Struthio camelus: one gene and its partner. Each later gene encodes a partner of the first gene's protein in a complex. Links are inferred from orthologs where the notes say so. Each region holds a gene or a part of one and is shown on either strand. Other genes may lie near its edges.

Evidence for each region. Proteins that work in one complex are often made in the same cells at the same time.
Region 2: the proteins of NTRK1 (region 1) and NGF are in contact, whole or in part, in a crystal structure (PDB 1WWW), measured with the Homo sapiens proteins. The link is inferred for Struthio camelus from reciprocal best matches to the Homo sapiens genes NTRK1 and NGF. Residues at the interface, in NP_002520.2 of Homo sapiens: His291, Val294, Glu295, Met296, His297, Cys300, Pro302, Phe303, Ser304, Leu333, Glu334, His343, Gly344, Cys345, Arg347, Thr352, His353, Met379, Asp380, Pro382; in NP_001424474.1 of Homo sapiens: His125, Pro126, Ile127, Phe128, Arg130, Gly131, Glu132, Phe133, Ser134, Ser138, Ser140, Trp142, Tyr173, Phe175, Arg180.

The regions. Positions count from the first base shown.
Region 1 is NC_090971.1:3,478,390-3,486,933, reverse strand, and holds the start of NTRK1 (high affinity nerve growth factor receptor), read left to right. Parts: upstream 1-4,785; 5' UTR 4,786-4,824; coding exon 4,825-5,000; intron 5,001-6,496; coding exon 6,497-6,571; intron 6,572-6,750; coding exon 6,751-6,822; intron 6,823-7,177; coding exon 7,178-7,246; intron 7,247-7,323; coding exon 7,324-7,478; intron 7,479-7,573; coding exon 7,574-7,722; intron 7,723-7,849; coding exon 7,850-7,976; intron 7,977-8,101; coding exon 8,102-8,431; intron 8,432-8,544. Other genes in the region: INSRR (insulin receptor-related protein), read left to right, coding at 111-181, 472-701, 794-904, 1,047-1,206, 1,285-1,414, 1,495-1,629, 1,794-2,064. UniProt on the Homo sapiens protein: Receptor tyrosine kinase involved in the development and the maturation of the central and peripheral nervous systems through regulation of proliferation, differentiation and survival of sympathetic and nervous neurons.
Region 2 is NC_090965.1:10,274,836-10,282,819, reverse strand, and holds the start of NGF (beta-nerve growth factor), read left to right. Parts: upstream 1-4,636; 5' UTR 4,637-4,928; intron 4,929-7,984. UniProt on the Homo sapiens protein: Nerve growth factor is important for the development and maintenance of the sympathetic and sensory nervous systems.

The DNA of each region.
Region 1 (8,544 bases):
CCGAGCCGAGGCTGGGGAAGGGCTGGGGAGGTGGCATTGTGCTCTCGTCCCTCCATCCCTTTCCCGGGCCGGGGCAGGAGCGGCCCCTGAGCGATGCCCACCCCTCGCAGGAGCAACGACGGTTACCCCAGCGGGACCCTCTACGCCTCTGTCAATCCCGAATACTTCAGCGCCTCGGACAGTACGTAGAGATGGGCAGATGTGCCTCCCAGGAGGGGTTCCCTGCAGGACCCTCGCAGGGGGTGAAACTGAGGCATGAGACAGGGAGGTCCCCGAGGTGCCCAGTGGGAGCTCATCCCTGAGCTAGTCCTTGCTGCATGGTCCCAGCATCCCCACACTTTGCCCTCAAAGCTCTGCACCCTTTGCGGGCGGCTTGAGGGGTTCACCCAGCCGGGACCCCCAAGCCCCTTGGGGGGGCTATGCCCGCAGTGACGGGGACGGTGATGGAGCGGTCCCCACCTCGCTCCGCAGTGTACATCCCTGACGAGTGGGAGGTGTCGCGGGAGAAGATCACCGTGATCCGGGAGCTGGGGCAGGGCTCCTTCGGGATGGTGTACGAGGGGCTGGCACAGGACATCGAGGCCGAGGGCCAGGAGACCCAGGTGGCCCTGAAGACGGTCAACGAGCTGGCCACCATGCGGGAGCGCATTGAGTTCCTCAACGAGGCCTCCGTCATGAAAGCCTTCAAGTGCCACCACGTGGTAGGTGGGCGGCCGGGACACGTGGAGGGAGGGAGGACGCCGCTGGAGGGTCTGCTGTCGTTCACCCGCTGCCCGCCCTGACCCCTGCCCAGGTCCGGCTCCTCGGCGTCGTGTCCCAGGGCCAACCGGCCTTGGTCATCATGGAGCTGATGACGCGTGGGGACTTGAAGAGCTATCTGCGCTCGCTCAGGCCTGACGCCGAGGTGAGGGGCTGCAGCAGCAGCGGGGCCCCAGAGGGCTGCAAATCGGCCATCACTCGCCCCGGATGCCCTCGAGCTCTGTTTTTTGGGGGTCCCGGCACCGCGTGCACCCAACCCCATCTCTCTCTTTCTGCGCTCGGTGCAGAACAACCCTGGGCTGCCCCCGCCCGCCCTCAAGGACATGATCCAGATGGCGGGCGAGATCGCCGACGGCATGGCCTACCTCCACGCCAACAAGTTCGTGCACCGGGACCTCGCTGCCCGCAACTGCATGGTCTCCGAGGACTTCACCGTCAAGATCGGAGGTGGGCGCCCGGCGGCGGGTGGGCACGGCCCCAGCCCCCTGCACCTCCCGGGCCTCACGCCTCCTCCTCCTCCTCCAGACTTCGGCATGACCCGGGACATCTACGAGACGGATTATTACCGCAAAGGCGGCAAAGGGCTGCTCCCCGTGCGCTGGATGTCCCCCGAGGCCCTGAAGGACGGGATCTTCAACACGCACTCGGACGTCTGGTGGGTGCTGGGGCGTGCGGGCGCTGAGCTGGGGGACCGCAGGGGCGTCCCCGGGGCTGACGGGCGGTGCCTGCCGGCAGGTCCTTCGGGGTGGTGCTCTGGGAGATCGCCACGTTGGCCGAGCAGCCCTACCAGGGCATGTCCAACGAGCAGGTCCTGCGCTTCGTCATGGACAACGGGGTCCTGGAGCGACCCGAGAACTGCCCCGACAAACTGTGAGTGGCGAGAGCAGCGCCGGCTGCGGCGCCCATCACCCTGGCCTCTGGCCTGGCTCCGGGCAGCGGAGCCGTGAGGCACATGGGAGGGACATGGGGTGACCTGGGGGGGGGGGGGGAGACCCGGGGCCCACAAACCCAACCGGGTGCCCTCTCTCCCGCAGCCACGAGCTGATGTGCCTGTGCTGGCAGCAGAACCCGCGCCAGCGCCCCTCCTTCGTCCAGCTCCTGGCGCGCATCAAGGACCACATGGCGCCCGCTTTCCGCACCCTCTCCTTCTTCTACAGCCCCGAGAACGGGCGGCGCAGCTCGGGCGAGCCCTCCGACGCCGAGACGGACCCGCTCCCCGAGGAGCACGAGCCGCCCGCCTCCCCGCCGCCCGCCCGCAAGGACCGCAGCCGTGGCTGGCTCCCGAACGGGGCACCCAGCCTCTGACCCCCTCCATCCTTGCCCCCATCCCGGCTTCCCCGGGTGCTCCGGACTTTTCCTCCCGTCCCATACGTGCTCGTCCGGCTGCCCCCCGAGACCCCCTCCGTCCATCCCGGACCGGCGGGGGGGCTGCTGGCGTTATTTATTGCTGGGAAGGGAAAGGTGGGGGGGGGGGGGACCGCGCTAGGAGCTGCACGCGCTGGAGCACCCTGGGGAAAGGCAAACCCAGAGCGTGGGAAGCGGGTGGCGAAAAGAAACCCCCAAAAGATGCCCGGCGTGGCGGGGTGCCGTCCTCCGCGCGGCCGGGAGCGGATCGCACCGGGCGCTTCCTGAAGCGGGGTGGTCGGGGCGGGAAATGGGGGTCTGCGGGGTGGGGAGCAGCATTTGGGGGGTCGGGGCCGCCCTTCCCGCGCCGCCCGCTGTCGCCTCTGCCTCTGCTCTAATGCCCCAGGCCATCTGCGAAGCAGGTCAGTAGCGTTAACCCCGTTTTACAGATGGGGAAACTGAGGCATGGGGTGGGAGATGCCTGGGACCACCCTCCCACCTCCCTGAGTGCCCCCCCCCCCAAGTCTCTGGTGCTGGGACTGGCATCCGGGGCCATGCTGGTCCGTCAAAGGGGCTTCGCTGTCTTCTCTGTGGCCGCGGGACGAGCGGAAATAAAGCGGGACGAAGCTTTGGCGGTGCTCTGGTTTGTGGGGGTCGCGGTGGGTGGCCGCGGCACCCGGCGGGGAGCCGGGTACGGGACTGCCCCGCCACCGGCCCCGGCTGCTCCCTGCATGCCCCCGGCTCAGGCACCGCGGGGGTTTCTGGGGTGAAAAAAAATGTTTCTGGGGATAAAACATCCGGGCAGTGGAAGATGGGGAGCAGCACGGCGTCGCTTGAGCCCCACGTCTGCCCCCGGCTCACCGCAGCCAGAGGGTGGCTCGCTCCTGCGCTCCAGGGACCGAGCTGCCTGCCAGAGCCCCCAGCTGAGAACGTACCAAACTCGGTGCCTGCCTGAGCCACCCCCGAGGGCGCAAGGGCCAGAGCTGACCCCGCAGCGCCCTGGAGCCCCCTGGGTCCTTGCCGCCCGCGGGCTCGGGGACGGGCAGCGGCATCAGGGCTGCTGCCGGCCCCAGCGCCACGTGTTAGCCGCCTGCCTGGTGCTGCCGAATCCCGGGGAGCCGGCCAGCTCTCTCGTTCATGCATAACCCGCTGCTCCGGGGCAGCAGGGGCAGGGGACGGTGATGGCACGTGTCCTCCCGGTCCCCGCTGGCGGAGCGGCTGCAAGGAGATGGGGGCCGGTGGGATGCAGGGCTCAGCGCCGGCGGGTGCTGGACCGCCGCAGCAGCAGCCATGCCCTGCCTCCCCCGGGGGAGGAGGGTCCCTGCCAGGGTTGTCACGAGGGGTGACAGCTGGGGACGGGGCCACTGTGCCACCGAATGTTCCCCCCCCTCCTTCACCCACCTCTCTGCACCCTGATGCTACCGGGGTCCTCTGGGATGCAGCAGCTCGGCGGTGCTTTGAGATTTTGGGCCACAGCTGCAGGCCAGAGGTGAGACCTGCTGGGGTTGGGGCTTCCTTGAGGCCTTCGTCGAGGGTCCCGGCAGGGGCTGAGCCCCCCGGTCCCTGGCACAGGGCAAGGGAGGGACGGAGAGCAGCGGTGGCCCCATGAGCCCAGCAGTGATGCTGCGTTGGGGCTCTCCTGTCCCTTAAGTGCAGCCGGCTCTGGGCTGGAGCCAAGCAGCGGAGGGTGTGTGTGTGCGTGTGTGTATGTGTGTGTGTGTGTGCGTGTGCGTGTGTGTGTGTGTGTGTGTGCGTGTGTGTGTGTGTGCGTGCACGCTCCACGCCAAGGCCCCAGGGGTTGTGCATGGCGCAGGGGATGCATGCAGGATGCCTGGCCTCCGGGTGTGTTGGACTCGGTGCTGGGCAGCAGCGGGGGGGGAGAGATGGGAGCTGCCTCTGTGGCTCGGGGGACCCGAGCGGTTGGTTTTGTGCAGGGTGCTGGGTTGGAGGGGGGTGGGTGGGGGTGCGGGGTTTGCAAGCGCAGGGTGCTGGGCTGTGGTGCAAACCGCCGGGGCGCGGAGCTTGTGCGGGTGGTGGGAGTTGCGGCGGGGGGCAGGTTTGCAAGTGCCGAGCAGCGAGTTTGCAACCGCGGGGTGCAGGTTTGCGGGTGCGGGGTGCAGATTTGCAGCTGCAGGGTGCTGCTTTGCAGGTGTGAGGTGCTGGCTTGGGGGTGCGGCGTGCAGATTTGCAGGTGCGGGGTGCTGACTTGCAGCTGCAGGGTGCTGCTTTGCAGGTGTGGGGTGCTGACTTGCAGCTGCGGGGTGCCGGCTTGCAGGCACGGGGTGCAGATTTGCATCTGTAGGGTGCCGGTTTGCAGGCGGCGGGCGGCTGCGGCCGGCCAGGAGCCGCCGGGGGAGGCCGGCGCAGGATGCGGCCGGACCAAGGGGCTTCCCGGGAAGCGAGTCACGGTGACTCACGGGCTTCCCGGGAAGCGGCTGCCCGCTGCCGCCCAGCCGCACCGGACCCCAGCACGGCGCACCCGGCCCTGGGAGGGGTGTGTGTGTGGGGGGGGGCGGCCTGCCTGTTTGCCCCCTTCCCCATCGCTTCCCCCGCCCCGGCAGAGCTGGGACCCCCGATGCCGGCGCTGCCCGTCCCCGCGGGAGGGGAGATGCTGGCTCCTCCCCGGGAGGCTGGTCCTGCGCTGCCTTTAATCCTGCGCGCACACATGCTGCGGGCGGCAAGTGCGAGGGAGGCGGCGAGCGGGGCTGCCGCGGCCCCGCGATGCTCCCGCCGCCGCCCGCCTGGCTCTGCCTGGCCGCGCTGCTGCTGGCACCGGGCAGCGCCGAGCCCTGCCCGGCGCCCTGCCGCTGCCCCGGCGCCGGCACCCTGCTCTGCCGGGAGCCCGACACCCTGGGCAGCCTGGCCGGGCTCCTGGGCGCCCGCACCTTCAGCGACGTGTGAGTGGGGAGGATGCTGCGGGGTCGGCTCCGGGCGAGGTGCGGCCCCCTCCCCTCTCGCAGCCGTGATGCTGGTGGGAGCCGAGGGTGCAGCCGGGGTGCTGGCACCTCGCCTCGAAGCTTGCGGGGTGGGATGGGGAGGGGGGAGGTCGAGTCCTAGGATCCCCCCCCTCCCCAGACCCGAAGGGGTGTTTGCTAGGCAGGGATGTCCGGCGCAGGGAGAGGGGGGCGGTGGTGGTACCCAGCTGGGGAGCGGGATGGGTTTGGGGATGCTCCCGGAACTGGTTGGGTTGGAGGGATCCCCTCTGCCTTCATCCTTCCCCCTGCACTGGGATGCGTGCTGGGGAGGGGGCAGCTTGAGCGAGGAGGCTGCTGAGGGCGATGGGTGGTTTGGGTGATAACGGGGTGCCTGGCCTCCTGGGTCCTCCTCCTCCTCCCCCTGCTGCAGCCCCGGCCTTGCCGCATCGCCCTGCGGCATGCCTCCGTGCCTCAGTTTCCCCACGGGCCAGGGCGCTGCCAGCTCTTTGTTTGCTGCTCGCGGGGTGGGGCGGATGGCGGCGGGGACGCGGTGCTCCCTGGCAGACCCCCGTCCGCGGCCGTCCCAGCCTCCCTTGTCTCCATCGTCCCCGCAGCCTCGTGCAGGGGGTCTGCATGGTTGGGGGCACCCCGCGGTGGTCGGGGCTCAGCGGGACCAGAACCCCTCGGTCACAGGTTCAAATCCCCAGCTGGCCCCCTGAGGACTTGGAGCAGCCCCTGGGGTGTGGCAGGGTGGTGAAACCCAGCAGTCGCTCCCGAAAGGGGTTTCCATCACTGCCCACCCTGGGGAAAGCAGAGGGAGACAGCACCTCAGTGTCCCCCCCCCCAAAAAAAAAAAAAAAGTCATGCCACAGGGACACAGGCGGGCGCAAGCAGAGGTGGGGACCCACCGAGGGTTTGCACCCTGGGGGTTAAAGAGGCTGAGACCCGGCAAACTCGCTCGCTGGGTGAGATCGCAGGCTGCCTGGCTGCCGAGCGGCCCCTAGGATGCCGAGGTCAGGGGCGCCCCAGTCCTGTTCCCGCGCCGGTCCGGAGGGGATGCATCACGCTGGTGCTCGGCTGGGAGGGCTCAGTACCCCCGGGATTGGGTATTGCAACCGGGGACAGAGAGCTGCTGCCCCGCCGCTGTCCTCTCCCCCCTTCCCCATCTCGTCCCTGCCTGCTGAGGGGGAAACCGAGGCCCGGGGGCCCGCGGAGCAGGGCTGCCGTTGCGGGGCCGCGGCATGGGGCGGGCGTCCCGTTCCCTCCGCCCTGCGTTTTGCGGTGGCGCGATGGCGTGGGTGCCAAGCGGGGCACGGACGGGGATGCTGGCGACCCGCTTGCTCTCCCCGGCATGCCTTTCCCAGCCGTCGCGGCTTGAGCCTCCGGCTGCCAGATCCTGCATCCCACCGAGGGGGGCCGGACCCCGGAGTGGCGGCCGGGGGGGCCTGATCCCTGCGCCGGGCTCATTTGCCGAGCAGGGTCATCGAGAACCAGAGGACGCTGACGACCTTGACCCGGGCTGACACCAGGATGCTCCGGGACCTCAGGAACCTGTGAGCATCCCCGAGCCGGGATGGGGATAGGGAGACCCCCCCCCCCGGAGTTCCCTGGTGCTTGATCCCACCGTGGGGAGGCAGAGGGTGGCTCTGGAGGGATGTTTGCCCCCCCGGAGTGGCGGGGCAGGGACATTCGGGGTCGGGATACGGATGCTCAGTCCTTCCTTGCTTCCCAGCACCATCGCCAATTCGGGGCTGCAGCACATCTCCGTGGATGCTTTCCAGGACACCCCCAGGCTGAGCCACGTGTGAGTAGCCCCCCTGTGCACCCCCCCCAACCCCGCGCTGTCCCCGGGGTGGCTCGTCCCCCCGCCGAGGGGCCGATCGATGGCTTCCAGCCTCCCCAGCGCTCGCCGGCGGCACGGCAGCAAAACTCGATCCGTGGCAGCGGCCGGGGCGGGGAGGGGGAAGCGGGCACAGGGATTTTACCGCTGAGTGGGAAACCCATCGATCGAGCCGGGAGCCCAGGCAGCACCCGGCTCCCGGCACCTTCGTGCCGCACGGGCCCCGATGCGAGAGGGGACGCCGGAGGCGGTGGGGACAGCGACTGTCCCCGGCGAAGGGGCTGCTGATGGAGGTGGGGGGGGGGGTCCGTCCTTGCAGGAACCTCTCGTCCAACGCGCTGCACAGCCTGTCCTGGAAGACCTTCCAGCATCTGCCGCTGCAGGAGCTGTGAGTCGCCGGGGAGGGGAGGGCGAGCGGGCGGCTCCGACGGCCCGCTCCAAACCTTCGTCCCCTCCCGTCCCCAGCATCCTGGCGGGAAACCCCTTCAACTGCTCCTGCGGCATCCGCTGGCTGCAGCTCTGGCAGAACGGGAGCCGCGCCGAGCTGGGCAACCAGTCGCTGGGCTGCTGGGAGGGCAGCGTCTTCGTGCCCCTGGGCAGCCAGCACCTGCGCGCCTGCGGTACGGACGGCGGCCGGGCTCGCGGGGCGGCCTTCGGGCGCAGCCGGGGCCGCGGGCGGCAGCCGGGCTCCGCTCACCGCCCCGCCGCTCGGCAGAGCCCCCGACCGTCCGCATCGAGCACGCCGACGCGGTGCTGCGGCAAGGCGACAGCGTCAACCTCACGTGCCACATCGCCGCCGAGCCGCCGGCCGCGGGGCGCTGGCTGCTCCCCGACGTGGGACCGGAGGTGCCCGTCGTCACCGAGGCAAGCTCGGCGTGCGGACGCCTCTCGGCTCGCTTCGACCTCGCTGGTGGTGTCCTGGCCGAAGGCGGGCGCCCGGCGGTGGCACCGTGCCGGCCGCCTGCTAGCTCTCCGCTCTGGTTCCCCGCAGCTCTCTGACCAGGAGATCCTCCTGGAGATCCACAACGTCTCCTCCAGCCTCAACCGCAAGGACATCACTTGCCGGGCGGAAAACGTGGCCGGGCCGGCGGAGGACAGCGTGGTCCTCAACGTCACCTGTGAGCCACCAACGTGGGGCCGGGTCGGGCAACCTCCGGCCGTTGGAGTCGGCCGGCGCCGGGCGGACGGACGGACGCCCGCCGCGGCCCGCGTCGCCCACCCAAAGCCGCTCCGTCTCGCGCAGTCCCGGCTGTGATCCTGCTGCTGCAGGAGGCCATCCCGCAACACTTCTGGTGCATCCCCTTCTCGGTGGACGGCAACCCGGCGCCCAGCGTCCGGTGGCTCTTCAACGGCACCGCCCTGGTCGAGGGACCCTACATCCACACCCGCATCGTGGAGTACGAGCACAACTCCACCGTGCTGCACGGCTGCCTCCAGCTCAACCGGCCCACGCACGTCAACAACGGCAACTACACCCTCATCGCCCGCAACGCCCTCGGCTCCGCCACCTGCACCGTCCAGGGCCGCTTCATGGAGAACCCCTTCAGCTTCAACCCCGAGGAGCCCATCCCCGGTAGGCGCCCGCCGCCTGCCTCGGTTTCCCCGCCGCGGGGCTCTCGCCCGTTTTAACGCGTCCTTCCCCCTTCCGTTTTTTTTTCCCCCCCTTCCGCCGCATCGGGCTGCCGC
Region 2 (7,984 bases), on another chromosome or scaffold:
GCTTCAAGGCAGACTTGACCAACGTCAGCATGAAATGAGAACATGCTATGGGCTTCACTGATGGTGCTAGTACCCCCAAAGAAGGGGGGAAACAGCTGTCAGACTCTGTGGATTATAGAAGGATTAACACTAGCAGAGTTTGCGTGGCATATTCCCAATCAACAAAACAGGGGAAACACGCATTTGACTTTAGCTCTTGAAATGCTCTTGTCACGGAAGCGTGTGTGAAAGGTGCACCAGATCATATGTGGTTATAAAACTTTTGTCCACAAAAGAGACACACAAGTCCATTACTAGTGAACCCTGACTGACAACTCTTCGTGGTTTTCACAGAGACTTCCGACTCCAACCCAGCCACTAGTTCAGTCTAGTGCAACAAGCTATGGCTAGGGATAAAACCACGCAGCCACTAAGCAGAGTATCTTACAACCTTTTATCCTCCTATAGAAGAGCACTCAAACATCTGAGTGCTGTTTTTCAAAATTCATAGTTCCTTTTCTGTTTTAAAATAGCACGTATGTTCTAATTTTACCCTCATTGCAAACCAACAGTGAATATTAAGGTATTCTAACAAAACTGCAGGCTTATGTATACTGTAATATACAGTAGTTACTGTGTCTTTCCAAATAAGTTATCAGGCAAAACCTCTGCTGAATCCAAAGAGGAACGCTATGTAAAGTTATTCTCATAGCTCTGCTTTGTCTATATGTCACTACCATAAGAATTACATTCTGTCTGTAACAGCACTTGGATGATCACTAGACAGTTTGCTTTTACTAAGATCAGGCTTTGGAGATGTTTTATTTTACAGCAAAATGGTTTGTTTTACTGTACCCTTTATAACTAACCAAAAGAGAAAGAATAATATTAGTGCAAGTCCATAACTCACCATAACTGAATGTTTCCTATCACCACTTGTTTTGAACTGCAGTATATTGGGATGCATCATGAGCAAATCAATTTCTTGACGCAGCTAAGCTACATTCGGTATGCGTTATCGATTCAACTGAAAAACCATGCAGCAGAAGCAGTTAAGAAAAAAACAGGAGACTGAGTCCCACAGTAAATCAGTAATGAACTTGTTTGTATGACCTACTTATTCATGACCCATGAGTGAGCTTCTGCTTTTTGCTAATAGCTTCTGCCCTACACATAACACTATAATGTAATGCTACACAAACTAACAAAGCCAAAAGAGACCACCTGTCCATCAGGTTTTCCATGTTTGAAACTAATACAAGAGGAGAACTTGTGTTGTGACCATTCCTTCTAGTCTCTCAGTTAACATCTATTTGGCCAAAGGTGGGCTAGCTTCCTCCAGCTGAGTATTAAGAGCTAAGTTTAATATCTCTTTACATTCAATTTAGCTTTAGGACTAGAGCTGTCAAACAAGCTTACATAAGATAGCAATGCTCTATTTTCTGGAGGTTTATAAAATTGGAAGTGATAAATATTCTTTTAGGTAAAACAGATTCTATCTTACACTTTTGAAAGCCTCACTTTAGACGTTTAAAACACTTCTTGCATTCACATCTAAGCACCTCCAGATAGCTGGGGTGGGGGGTGTACTTTTGATTTATCTTTTTTCCTGTAAAGACCCAGCACTACAAGAAAGTACTGAATGCAGCTGTCAGCACGCACGTGCACGCGCACACACACACACAATTAAGTATCTCTGAAGAAAACAAGATCTGTCACCCTCATCCCATGCCCTATACTTTTATGACATGTTTGAAAAGCTTTTCATGCTCTGTGGGTCCTTTTATTAACACCCTGACACCTCTCTAGACAGCAAGATTTTAGAAACAGTAGCTCTGCTCACCTGCGTTACTTCCATACTCACAATGATTTCAGACACAAATGAGGACTTTGTTGGTTCTGGCAGCTTTGTTCCTCAAAGAAAGTTGCTTATAAATGGAAAAGCCCAGCCACTGCTCCTCAAACACCTTCCCCGAAACTCTTTCAGGAGCACAAAAGACATCAACTCCAGCAGGAATTCACCTCCTGTACCCAAGGCCTCTTACAGTCCTAAACAACCCACATAAACACAAAACACCTTTTTCCTACTCTGTGCCTCCTTCACTAACCTATTTGGACAGAAGTGCTGATGCAGGGGGAAGAGGCTGTAACAATCCACAGCTGTTGTTTTGGGGCTTAGGGCAACACTGAACTCAGCCTAATGGTCAGAATAGCCACAGCCCAAGACTCATGAGAGCACAAAGCATTTCACCTCTTGTCACCACTCTCAACAGTGCTGCTCTTCATTTTGATCTGTGTGCTTTTGGTTTCCTGAAACAAAATATGTCAACGCACTACATGCCAATGCTTCTCTGGAACACAATGGATCGACTTACTCTTAGGCGAAAATTGAGGTAATTGTTCAAGGAAGCTCATGCAAGAGGTCATAGGAGATTTGGGATTATTGTAGTAGAGGCAGAAGAATAATTGGATGCAAATCTCTAAGAGAACCAGGATTCATTAGTTTGGTGCTCACAGAAGAACTTCTCTCTATGCAGCAGCTTCTCTGATTCCAGAATACATCTTTTCCTTGCTCAGCCTGACATTATTAGTTCTTTACCTTGTGATCAGTGATTTCCTGCCTAAGCAAGAGAACCCCCAACTCATGAAAGATAAAAGTTAAACATCCGTGCAAGTAGGTGGGTCAGAGCACTGCTAAAAGAGAAAGATATACAACCTACTCTGTGCAGCGCTTTCAGCTGCTCAGCTCCAAGTATAGCAGTCCACCTGGGATTACGTCTGTACATGGCTAGTATACCCATAGGAGCACGCCTATTTTCCAGAAGCTAGGAATGTAGAAATGCTGTTTGTTTGGGGTACATGGGAACATAAGGAAAAAGAATACAAGCCAGTGCGTTTTCCTAGGGACTGGTGCAGCTATCTTTCTTGCTTATATGAACCTGCTGCTATGATGGAATGAGGTACTAGAGGAGAATTTCGTTAGACAAAAGTAAGTGCTTGTGATACAGATTAAGTACAAACTCAAACTGTATTATTGTTTACTGTGTCCAAAATAGCTTTTTTAACTTTTAAGAAAACACATGCAACTCGTGCCAAGAAATCAAACGTAGAGATGCTAAGCACAAGCATGTACTAACTTTTTGGTCAGAAAAGAGCATATATTTTTATATTGGTGTTTTGATGCTGTTCATTATACTCACACCAAGCTATAATGCTCTTTCAAATTGTCAGCAAAAAATCCTAACCTGAGGATATCCTAATGAAGTGAGACAAATTTCCAACACAAGAATAGCCTGGCATTTCTGCAATGAAATATGAATCTAAGGCCAAATCCCGAGGACAAGTTTTACAGGCAAAACTTTCACAAATTCTGATGGCTGTCTGTGTGAATGAAGACATTACAGTTTGGCCTGTGACTGGTATCTTGTGTGGGCCGTCGCTTTTAGAAAAACAAACCAATCTGAACTGCATAATTCTGGGAACTTAGGAAGGTATTTTCAGCATTTGTTTTAAGCATTTTGTGTTGCAATTTTCTTAAGGATTTTTCAGGCAATTTTAAATGGACATCACCTCCAAGAAAAGGTCTAGCACTGAAGCCAGTCTTAACTTTGGCACTGTGGAAAATGAATGTAAGACTTGTCTACGACTTCTAATAAAATAGAGGATATGCTTGGTTCGAGTTCAAGAACTATCACATTCACGTGATATATAAAAAACATTATTATCTCAAAGCTACTTTGTCTTCTTCTTTACGCCTTTACACAGTACCTTCCACACATCTTTCCCTTCCTAGAAGGTTTTCAAGCATGAGCCTCTCCAGATGTCCGCCCTCTTCTGGATGTAATCAAAAGATGTTTTATTATTTCCACGTTTATAAAATGCAGTGGTCTGTTTTTCAGTAGAGGATGATCTAACTTTTTGCCTTGGGTCTCTGTGAAATGGCAAGGGTTACACTATGCTAGTATGAGAACTATGAAATTCCAGGTGTCTGCTTCATAGCTGTATTAAAAGTTCCTTTGGTTTATGTAGTCAGTCAACTGTTTATTGATTTGTTTAATGTCATGTAATTTTTCACTTTTGCATTTCTTCTCTGTATTTCTCAGGGCTTAAAACACACTGTTGCTCTGTGGTAAAGCACTTAATCCTCCTTCACAAAAATAATGGAGAAACATTTCCATCTCCCTCTATTGCTTATGGTAAGCATGTTGAGCACAAAACATTAGGGCTGGAAGGCACTTTATATAATCTTTTCCTCTGCCCCAAGTCAGGATCAACTATTTCCTTCTTACTCCTGATCAGTATTTGGCTGACCCCTGATAAAGACATCTGATAACAGGGACTGCACAATTTTTGCAGACAACCTAGTCCACTGCTTCATCAGTTAACTGTTAGTTTCTTCTTATTCTTTTTCATAGACTCATGACATGAGTAAAGGGCTCTAAGGATCACTTTCACAAGGACCCATTCATCAGGGACCCGGGGCTTTGCTTTTGTGACCTCTCATCTTTAAACACAGCACAGATATTAAGATGCAAAGCAGAAATTCTTTAGACAAAAAGTACCTTAAAGAGAATTTCAGTTCTTGACAGTGGAACCAGGAAGTTGACACTTTTTCTCAGTCATACAGCCAGTGCACGCTTTGAAACTTTCACTGCACATCTGTGCATCACTGCATGGATTAGGCGCCAAGCCAAAGGCTAGATTCCTACGAGTCCGTGCAGCTCCCACACGTTTACAGCACTAGGACCCAGAGGGAGCTTAATTCCTGTGAGTCAGTGCAGCTAGCTGAGCCTGAGAGCAGTGAATGAGGCTGGAAAGGCAGAGGGAATGTGAATGGCTCGTCTGGCTTGGGAAAGTGTCCACAGACTAGGGTGCTACGGACTACAAAACAGCTTGGACACCCCTCAGGATTTCCTCTCCCTCCAGTGTTGAGTGATAGCAGCTCTGAGGTGAGTGACCCCACAACCGTCAAAGGGTTTTCACAAAGCAAGTAATGCTGCCGTTGCATCAGTTGTGGAAGTTTTCCTGTCTTTAAAATTTGCCAGTATGTTTTTGCTGTACTGTGATTTTCGCTCTCTTGAAGGGGTGCAGATCAGATGCCTTTGAAACATGGAGTGCTGGTTGCTTAAAAGTAACATTTGTTCAGAACAGCTTGGTCTAGTAAGACTGAAAATTGCATCTATTAATGCAGTTTAAATAGCATGCACATCTGGAAGGTGTTCAGAAAGCATTTGTGGCTAAGTTCAAAGCTTGAAACGTATCTTTAGTAAAAGCAGCTTAACCTTAGAGAAATGTAGGCATTCTTACGCATCGTTTTTCATCCAGGTAAATCAGACCTTAGTTTTATCTGCACAGGTATAGCAGTTAACTTCTATATGAAAATGCTTTGCTGTCTTGGTTTTCATTATGGTGTAACACTTTCTCTCTTTTCCATGATAATTCTACTCTAGGTAAGAACTCTTTTTTTTGCTTTTCTGAAATAAATAAATAAGAATTCTGGTCAATCCAGACATAATTGGCACAAGGCAGAAACCTTCTAGCTCTAGGCAGAGCTGTAGTTCACTTTAGACTGTATATTCTGTAACTACACTTGGAAAAGCTTACCAACTCCTTGCTGCCTGCCTATTATTGACAGGATGAAACTGACAGTGTTTATTGATTTATCCTGGGTGATAGTAACACCGTTTTATCTGATACGCCAGTCAGACACAGGAACGGGGACCCCAGCAAGGGAGGAAAGGAATTTGTGTGCCAAGAACAAAAAGCGTTTGTGCTTCAATTGTTTTCTTCACTTTAAATTCTCCTTATACGCTCAAGAAGTTTTAGAAAAACAGTGAAAGTGAGCACGCTTGTCAGGCTGGTTTTTCCAAGTTGTCACAACTTGGAAGTTGCATTGTCACTGTTAGGCAGATAATTCATGAGTGCTTTCATGCATTAGTGTATTACAGTAAAGCCTCTTGGGTACTTTTTTGCTAAGCTAAAATAGAGTGTGACAATTATCTGCAAAAAGGCAGGAAGCTGACTTGCCTGTAAGTTCATACTTGTTGCAGTTCTGAGCTGTTTCAGGTACTATGAAAAACAGGCCTTTTAAAAAGCCATCTCCATGTTCAGATGGACAATCATCATCTCACATTTGTCCAAAACTCACAAAGTTACAACAGTGTCTGCACTTTCACAAAAAAAAATTACAGTGATGGGATCAAGAAAATAAAATGGAGTGTCCACATGAGCAGGATTAAGAAAGATTTGGCCCTTAAATATATTACTCGTTAGGTGTATGAATCATTTTCTAAAAAATCTCAGCAAGGTCTGGAGAGTAGCTCTTCTGGCAGATGTGCGCAGTAAAGTAATAGTCATTTCACATCCTGATCAATCCCAGCCACTCACTCTAAAGGGATCTGTCAGTCTCACAACAGGGTGGCAAAGAAAGTAAGTAAGTGTGGCTTTCTTGCTCATGGTTTTCACATCCTCTTAGCTTAGCAGTGTCCATTTTCTCACCCAAAAGCTTAAGTTATCTTCTCAGATGTCTTCATTTAATTCCAGCGGAGAATTACAGAGCACAAAGGATCATTCTAGCCCATATGCTAAGTTACTTAGAATGATTATTACTTAGAATGATTAGGCCTCCTATGTAATCACTGTAAAATGTTAATTTAAAAAAACAGGTTAGGAAAATACGTAAAATGTTGATTAAGTAATAATTAGCATTTTTAAGTGAAAATGCCCTTCTTTAATGGAATACATATAACAGCAGGAAAGATGAAACACATTTAAAAACTAGATTACTTCAGTCCATAGAATACATCCCATAATTTCACCTGTGCTCATATACAAAATGCTCCTGTAAATGCAAATTCCATCATGCACATTTCATTAATCAATTTTGTTTCTTTAAAAAATACCTTTAGAACTGGCAGGATATTGAATATATATTAATTAACATTAATTGCATTAAGTTGAAGGCATCATTTGGAAAATATATCGATAATTTTAAGGAGGTAACGTAGTTCTACTATTGTTTTAGTCATATATTTCGAGAACAAACCTTGCTCTTAAAACAAAAGAGTTAAAACAATTAATGATTTCACTCCAGTAGATTTAATATTCCAGCACCAAAAGTCTACACCAGTACTGGTGCGTTTAGAAATATTTGTCTATCCTTTAAATCTCAGTCCACTAAAAGCTAGTGAACGGCAACACCTTTCAACTCGACTACAGCAATGGTGACCTCTGCTGGCAACTGCCCTCTCGTCAGAAGTTTAAAGGGCTTGTTCAGAAAGTGACCATAAAGTAACACATTTATTAGATCAGCTGATACAGTTAGAGAAATGTAAGATACTACTTCTTCCCACAAGCCTTGCCTCATGCTAACGAGGGGTGAAAGGCACCCGTAACAATGGTACTAGAGCTGCTTTTTTTCACGGTAAGAAGAAAATTCTCCCTATCCTCAATTTGACTCCAGCGCTGTCACGGAGGCCAATGTGTTTTAAGAGCATTTCTATGACAGAAGCGTCTCCCACACTGGGACAGATGTCCTATGGGATGTGAGTGGCTTGTTTTCCTGACACAAGGCCCTTTGCGCAGCTCTGTTGAATTGATTAAATATTTGCAAGTGTTTGCGTGTGCATGCATTTATACCAAAAATTATTACGTGGCCAAACACAGCAAGGTCATTTTTGCTTTTGCCAAGAGATCATCGTATCTATTAGCGTAGGTTATGCACACTTTGAGTATTGGTGTGATTCCACTAGCGCTATTTATATAACTCAGTCAGTGAAAGTAAAGCCTCAGTCCCACATTATAAGCCCATCTTGTGCCCATGTCCTGACTATTGCATGTAGTTATGGTCATTGTCCACATCTCAAAAAAAGAATAGAGTAAAACCAGAAAAGGCACAAAAAAGAGCAACAAGGCCTGGAACAATTTCCATATTAAGAGGAACTACATAGATCAGGACTTCCCGACCTGGAAAAGAGATGGCTGAGGAGGGATATAATGTAGATAC